Drosophila melanogaster: one gene and its partner. The protein of the gene in region 1 interacts with the protein of each later gene in a pairwise test. Each region holds a gene or a part of one and is shown in the gene's direction. Other genes may lie near its edges.

Evidence for each region. Proteins that work in one complex are often made in the same cells at the same time.
Region 2: the proteins of CG33307 (region 1) and CG14515 interact in a two-hybrid assay, tested with the Drosophila melanogaster proteins (one large-scale study listed by BioGRID).

The regions. Positions count from the first base shown.
Region 1 is NT_033779.5:13,838,746-13,843,119, reverse strand, and holds CG33307 (uncharacterized protein), read left to right. Parts: upstream 1-1,599; 5' UTR 1,600-1,640; coding exon 1,641-1,676; intron 1,677-1,745; coding exon 1,746-2,024; intron 2,025-2,084; coding exon 2,085-2,282; 3' UTR 2,283-2,318; intron 2,319-2,616; 3' UTR 2,617-3,858; downstream 3,859-4,374. Other genes in the region: CG33306 (uncharacterized protein), read left to right, coding at 1-203.
Region 2 is NT_033777.3:29,195,616-29,199,731, forward strand, and holds CG14515 (uncharacterized protein), read left to right. Parts: upstream 1-1,940; 5' UTR 1,941-2,018; coding exon 2,019-2,452; intron 2,453-3,469; coding exon 3,470-3,542; 3' UTR 3,543-3,596; downstream 3,597-4,116.

The DNA.
Region 1 (4,374 bases):
CACAGATCGAGAACCTGTCCAAGTACCGAATCTTCAATCGCAAACTGAACGAGATCATCGAGGAGTTCGTAACCCTGACGATTAATGAAAACACCGACTTTGTTGCCGCCTGGGTCAGCGAACAGGCTACTCCCATTTGCAATGATCTGATCGGAGACCGAACTCTGAGTGATATCATTGCGATTATTACGGGAGGAAACTAATTAGGCCAAATAAACTCTACATATTATCCAAAACAAGTGCATAATCCAATTTTCGGTGGTCAAAAACGTGCGGGCCATAAACCATGTGCGGATTGGTTTATTTCACTGCCCACCAGGGCAGGGAAAACACGCAATTTGCTTAATCTAATCTCACAGATTAGACTTATAATAGCATTTCCTTTGCTAAAAATGATTAGGCCCTCTAGCTCTGTAGTTTTTTATAACTCTACTTTTACTCTAATTTATCAACATATTTCAATTGGTTCAATGCTTGTGTACAATTAGTATTGTTTTCAAAACAAAGGAAATTTTACTCAAGAAGTTCTGTTTAGTATAAATTCTTGATTTGGAGTTACAAGTTATATTGTCAAGAAGATCATCTTCAGGAGTCTTTTTGAAGGGAATTATAATGCTTGAAGTGAACTTTACAAGTTACATTTTATCAGATTGGCCCAACTTTTTACCGTTTCGTGATACGCCACATTTAATAAAAATTCCTTTTTTTAGATCAATCCAAATATAGCTCAATTGTGTTGCCTACTTTTTTGCGGTAGACCTTTATATTTGCCATCGGCTTATTTTTGGCTGAGCTATTTGAGCAATGAGGTGTTTAAATTCCACTGCATACTTTCTAGTAGCGTGTAAGGTAAAAAAATGTATAACTTAAAAATGTCAAATGTAAAGTGAGTGCGTAGAGTTTGTAAAAAATAAGTGTCCAATCTTATTTTAGCGTTTTAGCATTGCTAGCATAATTATTAAAAATATCAGTAGTTTGCAGAATACATTACAAGTAGTTAAGAACTACTATACCTGCGCCAATACATAAAAGTATGTATGTCAAATAATTTGAATAGTTATGAATGAACAGTAAAATAGGTAATAAACAACTTGTCTGTACAAAGCATACAAATATAGAAAAACTTTCGGCGTCTGTAAAAATAGGTATTTAATAAAATTAAATAATATATGAGAACATATTGCAACGGAGTTCCCAAATTAATTGTTTTGTGTACGCAAACCTATGTATGTTTCTTCTTACCATACCCTTGTCAAGGTTATTCCTATGTTTGTTGATAACAAAAAACATGCGAGCGCCATACCACCCAGACAGCTAGACAGACCTTGACAGCGAATAAAGATAGATCAATGGCTAATATGCTCTCCGAATCTAAAAACGTGTTTCACTAACTTTAGCTGAAACGCAATTCAGATGACATCGAATTCCTAAATTTGTTGGGAAAAGCTTATTATCATCTGCGAAATCGGGAAAGAGCAAAACAAAATTCCTAGCAGGAGAAACCCTTGGGAGCTTATCAGGCACCCGAGAGATTCGAACATCCCACTGCTAATCAAAACATGCCTGCTGCTCCCACCAATTAGTTTGAAAACACCATTCATTGAGTGAGGAGGCTTTCGATTTTTTATCAATAAGACGCGATGCTGAAATATATTCCTTTACTTTTAGTAGCCCAGGTTAGGAATGCGTTAAGTTCTCCAAATTTATTAAAATACTAAAAAAAAAAACTGTCTTTAATTGAACAGCTATTAATAGTGGCTGCCAAGCCCACAAATCCACAACTCCTAAACTCCGATGATCCAGTGCAAAGGGAGTTGGAGAGACAGGCCAAGGAGGAGACAGTCCACCTGCTGAACTCGTTGTTCCGATCACAAATCGCCTATTTCTCCGAGGTGAAGGCCGCTCTGAATCCCCAGACCAAGCGATTCCAAGATATCAGTCTTTATATAACGCGCCTGAGCCAAGCCATTGATGAGCAGGAACTGGACCGAAAGGATGAGCTGTGGCAGAATATCTTCGAAGAGGTAATAGATACCTACATTGGTATTCATCAAATAAACAAACTGTTAATATCCCTTTTGCAGTTCAAGGACTCTCCACTGCTGATTAATCGGCAATCCGAGACAGGACTCACCGACTTGCAATATAAGACACTCCTGACCGGCCAGAAGCTGCAGAATATATCCACCAAGTTCGTGAGCGATGTGGCCGATTACTTCTGGGAAATGGCCAAGATTAGTGGCAAAGTCGTTGGCAATGGGATAGCGAGCCAGAACGAATAGTAAATCTCAATAAACTATAAATGTATCGAACGAACGGTATGTCTTATTTCGCAAATAATTATTCCAGCAACGTAGTCACAAATTTATTGACAAACCCACACCAAGGCGCAATCGACATACTTAAATTTCCAAATTTGAATTCACTGTTGACACATTTTATGGGTATTGTATTGGAAAATAGCGGAAATATCACGCTTTAACGGTTTATCACAAATTTCAATGGATAAATTTGAGGTGTGAATCCGATCTTACATAAGTGAACTTAAGATTTTAAGTATCTTTTCCCTTTTATTTGGTAAGAGTAGCTCTTGATCTTGAATGGTTTTTTTTACAGTTTTTTCAACCCACTGTATCGAATGCGAGACGCCTGCTGTGGAATGATAAGTTCATATACACCCATCACGAATTCGTGAATCATTCGATGCGACAGCCAAATTTGGACATATTATGAGTTAATTTAAAAAACGCCAAAGCTCTTCCGACTGAGCGCACTTTATTTGTTGCACTTTCCGCTGTCAATCGAGAACGAAAATAAGTTAGCGCAATTGCTATTGCAAGAACAAGGTGCAATTGTGCAATTGCAATTGAAATAGCAAAACGCTAGCAAAGTGCGAGGTATTTTTAATGCAATTTGCTTTAAAAATAAACGCGTACTTCGCGGGTAAACGGGGGCGACCAAAGGGGGAGTGGCAATGTGGCAGGGGCAGACGACGGACACGCATGCCTTCCACTCTGCCGGTTGCACATGTGTCGCTGATATTTGAAAATCCGCTCTTGTACACTGGGAAAAACGGGCACTACATATGATATGTAAAATTTATTGAACTTTAAAAAAGTGTAATTCTTACAAATCTGCAGTTAAAAACTATATGAACTTAAACTATTTATTTAAAAGATTTTTTACAAGTTTGCAAGACGATACAGTGTTTAAAAGAAATACCTATATACGCATTGTAGTTTCCAATAATAAGCGTTTTTTCTGACTGTATAAACAACATACAATTTGATTTCTGACTATGTAATATTAGCTCGGCAAGGTAATTTTCTCCAGTGTATAGCCGGCATCTTTGTGTGAGCTTTCACATGTATTTGTGGCCCCAATGGCATCTCCATGTCATGCTCTCGAGCGTATCGACGCAAACAATTTCCACTTCCGAATGACACAGACATAAGCCATATCAAACGGCGTTTCGAAAAACACGAAAAAAAATGCGATATGCGGATGACAGTGGCAAACAGTTTGCTCAAAAGTCCGCCAGTCAATATTATTCGACAATTAAAAGAAAACAAGAAAACAATTCGTTGCCCAAAGCGAAAAAGCAATAAAGACAACAGGCTAAACCGCCGACAGATAAGAGGTCAGAAGTTGAGATGAGATTGTTCAATTCGAAATTGGAGGGCAGGTGCTAAAGTTTCGAGTTACCTGTCTGCGATATCAGCTTTTGGCTGATAAATATTCAAAAAATATACGATAACAATGTTTACAGCTACTTATGAATGGTGCTATCTTTAAGATTGCAAATAAATGGTAATACCGCTCACAAAAGCAACTCAATAAAGATAAGTATCTGAATGTAAGCAAATGGAATGATATTACAAATAGGTAGCATATACATTCGTAGATTAATTCGCAATTAAAATGCCATTTAGATATAGATAACTACGAAAAAATGAGAAAGAAACCAAAAGACAGCCATGAACTTTCACCAAATAATCGCGTAATTATTAAATATTGTACACTTAAATCGCAAAATAATGGACTCGAACGTGAGTCATCCTGAGAACGAAATTAATGGACCCACTCTGCGAAAGGGTAGATCAACAGAAAAATTCGTTTGGGGCTAATTGCAATCGCTTTAATGGGCAGTCGCAAGCCATTTGAGATAAGAGAGGAAATTTGTTTTTCACTACCGCCAGCGGCATTTCAACTGACTGCCGTTGTTGTTGTTGTTTTTAGGGCCGACTATTACTTGGCTATTTACAAACAAACCAAACAGACAACACGCCTTTGTGTTTGCATAAACACCGCGAACAATCGAACAAGAATTCCAGGTAGGTTATTTATGTTCAGCCAAACGAACACCCCCCTTAA
Region 2 (4,116 bases), on another chromosome or scaffold:
GTGGCGCAAATGTCATTTTCAATGGCCGAAAATTTCGGTATGCTGCTGCCCAGTGCAGGGAGTTGAAAATTCGCATTCGCCGCATCCATAATGGATGATATGTCCTTTCGGCCCGCTGATCCTTCGGTTAAAGCAAAGCCACCGGGTTAACTGACCTTTGCAGTGCGGCCAACTTGAAATGCAAATAAGCGCCAATGTCCAATTGTAAAGTTCAGCAATCTAGAGTATTATTTATCACGTTTCAGCACAAACACATTGCCAAAAGCAAACAATTTAGTTTTGTGCGCAAAAGTTGCTGACGCTGGCACGTGCAATTTGAATAATTAACCGAACATTTTAATTAATGAAACAAGTTTGGTATTGACTTGGCCCAAAGTGTGAGTGCGTGTAGATACACACACTAGCACTTAAAAGTGTGTTTTGGCCCGAAGTGTTGTTGGTCATTTGCGCATTTATTAAATTAGAATTTGTGTGCCATTCGGTATGCTGTTTGCAGTGCTTGTGAATAACAAAAAAAAAAAAAAAAGATAATTAAAGTGAGCAGAAATAATTGGGCACTTTATTTATATTTTTTATTTAGTTACCATTCTAGCTATAAAATATGCTGCGAAAATAGGAATTATAAAACACATAGCTGTGTTGTGTGCCATTTGTTATAGTTTAATTGATAATTATTTCGCATAATTATTTCTCTTAATGAGTATAAACACTATTTTAAAACATTCCGAACAATTTATAAATGAAAATTTAAGCAAATGCTTAAAGTTAAAGAACTGACTTAATTATTCCATTTGTATTCCAACTGACAGCAGCTGTTGCAATTATCCCCCTTGCCAAAAACTAAAGTGAAAATGAGGTGGTGGAAAACCATATTCCACGAAGGAATGGCGTTGGCGGATCCCAGAAAGGAAACCGCCGACTGAAGCTGTGAAATGCGAAACGCAGCGGTATCAAAGGGGGAAAAGCGAACTGCCAGAAAAAAATCACAACTGAGAAATCAGAAAAAGGAAAAACCCAACCGGAGCCAACTCAATTCAGCGAAATCAACGCCAACGGCGGCTGCCTGTCAATTAAAACATTAAAACGCGCTGAAAAATGCAGCGAACAGGCGCAAAGTAAACAAACTGCGGAACATGTTGCAGTGCGGACAGCATTTTCCAACATTTTCCAACATTTTCAGCGATTAGAAGCATAGAATTTCGCAATGGAGCACTTAGAGCAGCACCAGAGTTTCGGGCCCAGACCACCAAACCGAGCAAAGAAATCCGATTCGTCGACCAGGGGAGGGACTAATGTGTGACCCAGTTTGGATCACTGTGCAGGAAAGGAACTCTGTGTGTTTTGGCCATTTGCTTTTTGATCATTAAAAACTGGTTGGCCGCCGCCAGCTGAGCGCCCCACTACATTTGCGGTCAGCTTAATAGCACCGCTGCGGCCATAAATTAGTCAAAGAAAATCTATTGGGATGGCAGCTGGCATCTGTCAATGATTTATTCTTGACACATCATTCCGTGTTAGTTCTTTTAAGAATTAAAAACCAAATAAAATAATAGTAATGATTTACGGTTGGGTCTTAGTGCAATTGTTTAGTAAATAAAGTTATCAAAGGCTATTAATTACTATTTATCATAACAGTTGATCAACAGCAAAGAGTTCTGGAAGAAAAGCGTGGAATATTCGTTTATATTTTTGCATATTTTTGAATATTTTTTTAAACAGTACAAATAACTTTTTAGAAAAAGTTTTATCGTAGTCAAGAAAAAGATGATTTAGCGCACTGACTTCTCCAATAGCTGGCTTTCTTGGATAGCTAAACGCTCCTATTCAAACACCCCCGACTGTGGCTATCTGTCCACTTGAACCGCCCGCCCATGTCTTCGGCGGCAGCGTCGCTTGTGGCATTGCCGCTTGGGTTTATAAGCGGCCGGCGATGGCGGCGGCGAGCCGAGTTTCAGCGTCAGATTAGCCGAGAGCGCGCGCGTTTTTTCCCACGATCAGGAAAATCGAATTCCAGAGCCATGAAGGATCGATTCAAGTGGTTGTCGCTGGAGCTGCTCCTGCTGATAGGCGCCGCAGTCGCCTTTCCGGACGGCGCTCCGGCGGACACGTGCGTGAAGCAGCGGGCGAATCAGCCGAATCATGGCAAGGCCCGGAGTCAGCCGGCTCACTCGAATCCGTACGAGGTGGTGGCCGATGCGCAGACCTACCATCCCGGCCAGCAGATATCGGTGGTCATCTACCCGCACTCGGACCAGAGCACCGTCTTCCGGGGATTCTTCCTGCAGGCGCGTGATGCCAACTCGAACGAGTGGATCGGCGAGTGGGTGCAGAGCGAGAACACCAAGACCATTCCAGAGTGCTCGGCCATTACGCACTCGGACAACCGGGACAAGCTGGGCGCCAAGCTCATCTGGAAGGCACCGCAAAATAAGCGGGGACAAGTCTACTTCACGTAAGTTGGAAGTTATAGGAGGAGTGGGTTAATTATATAGCTCAAGCCAATGGAATTATTAGAAAGATCTAGAATCTATAATCGAACTAACTTTCAGTGTTAAGTAGTGCTCTTACAGTCACAGCAAACAACTTAAATGCATGCAGAAGTTTCACTACCAACTTAATAAAATAAATGACCGCTTAGCACCCATTTTTTCGGACAGTTTCAATGAAGCACTTTGTCAAAACTGGCTTCGTACAACGCAGTTCGTGTCTTCTATGGCCCATCACCCTCATAATAATCATCATTATCATCGGAGGCGACGGTGGAAGTAGCATAAGCCGTGGCAACATCATTGTGCCTCGTGAAGGGATTCATTAATCATACGCCACGTTGACCCACATAATGTAATGCGCGCATAATTGTCAGGCGGACAAAAACTTGCCGGATAATCGCACAAAAGGCATTATGTAATTGATTTATTTGGAAAGAGCACACCCCTCATCAATGGTCCACAAAAAAAGGCATCAAACGGCAAAGACGCCGCACAGTGACAAGCTCAAAAAAGCCAAAGAAAAGCTGTCAATGCTTTTTATGCAACTTTGTCAACTTTGTCGGCAGATAACACTGGCCAACATAGACAAGTGCCAACTGTGAATTAACCACACAAAACTTATTTTCCGGACACTTGTCTCATTTGTCATTCTACCAAAACCAAAATATGCAAATATGGGTATTAATCACAAACAGACAAGCAAAGTTTATGGACACATCTTGCACAAGATCTGAAATCAATCATCATAGTACACTAAGGGAATTAATGCACAGAATTATAAGCTATAAAATGTATTATTTTCTCCATAACCATTTGATTTGAAAGTACTGTAGTCCAGTGTCGTCTCACCTTAAAAATCATCTGCTAATATTGCCTAATCATTGTCTACTAACTATTTATAGACTTCCTTGCGAATAAATTAGAAAAAATCATGACTTGCGAGCAACCATAAGAATTAACATTTTCACTTTTCGCTGCAGGGGCACTGTGCTACAGGAGTACGGAACGTTTTGGAGCGACATTGTGAACAAAGTGCAGGCGGAGCGGCCATAACTGAAATTATGTACTTACTTTTAAGGCAGCCGGGCAATAAATCTTAAAAACCCTAATTAGTCAAAACGAAATTGTTGTTTGAGGATTTTTTTTCGACTGCCATTCACCATTCCGACGTCTTGGACGTCGGACGCCAAAGGCGCCCCATTGAGCTGTGCAATCAACATTACAGGGCAAAATTATTGGCTTTTTGGCTCAGCGCTTATGAATGACCAGCCCACATCCCAGCGCCCAACGAGGCGAACCAGTTCCCGTCGCCCACCACAGACAGCACCTTGCCACCCACATCCGCCCACATCCTCCCACCCACTCCACTCCAAGTCCGAAATGGAACGCACGAGCCGAGCACGTTTGGGTTTCCAGACACGTTGGCCAGCTTCTCATAGGAAATTCGTTTTGGGCGCCCCGGCAAATTGGAAACTCTAAGCACCTTTCAGGCTGGCTGTGCTATAAAGTAATTAGACGGCCAACGAATTTGACCAAGACATAGGCCAAGATAAGTATTCGTAGCATAGGTCTAAAGCACTTCTGATTGATTGCCCTTACAACAATAGGAAGCGGATAAGGATAAGGA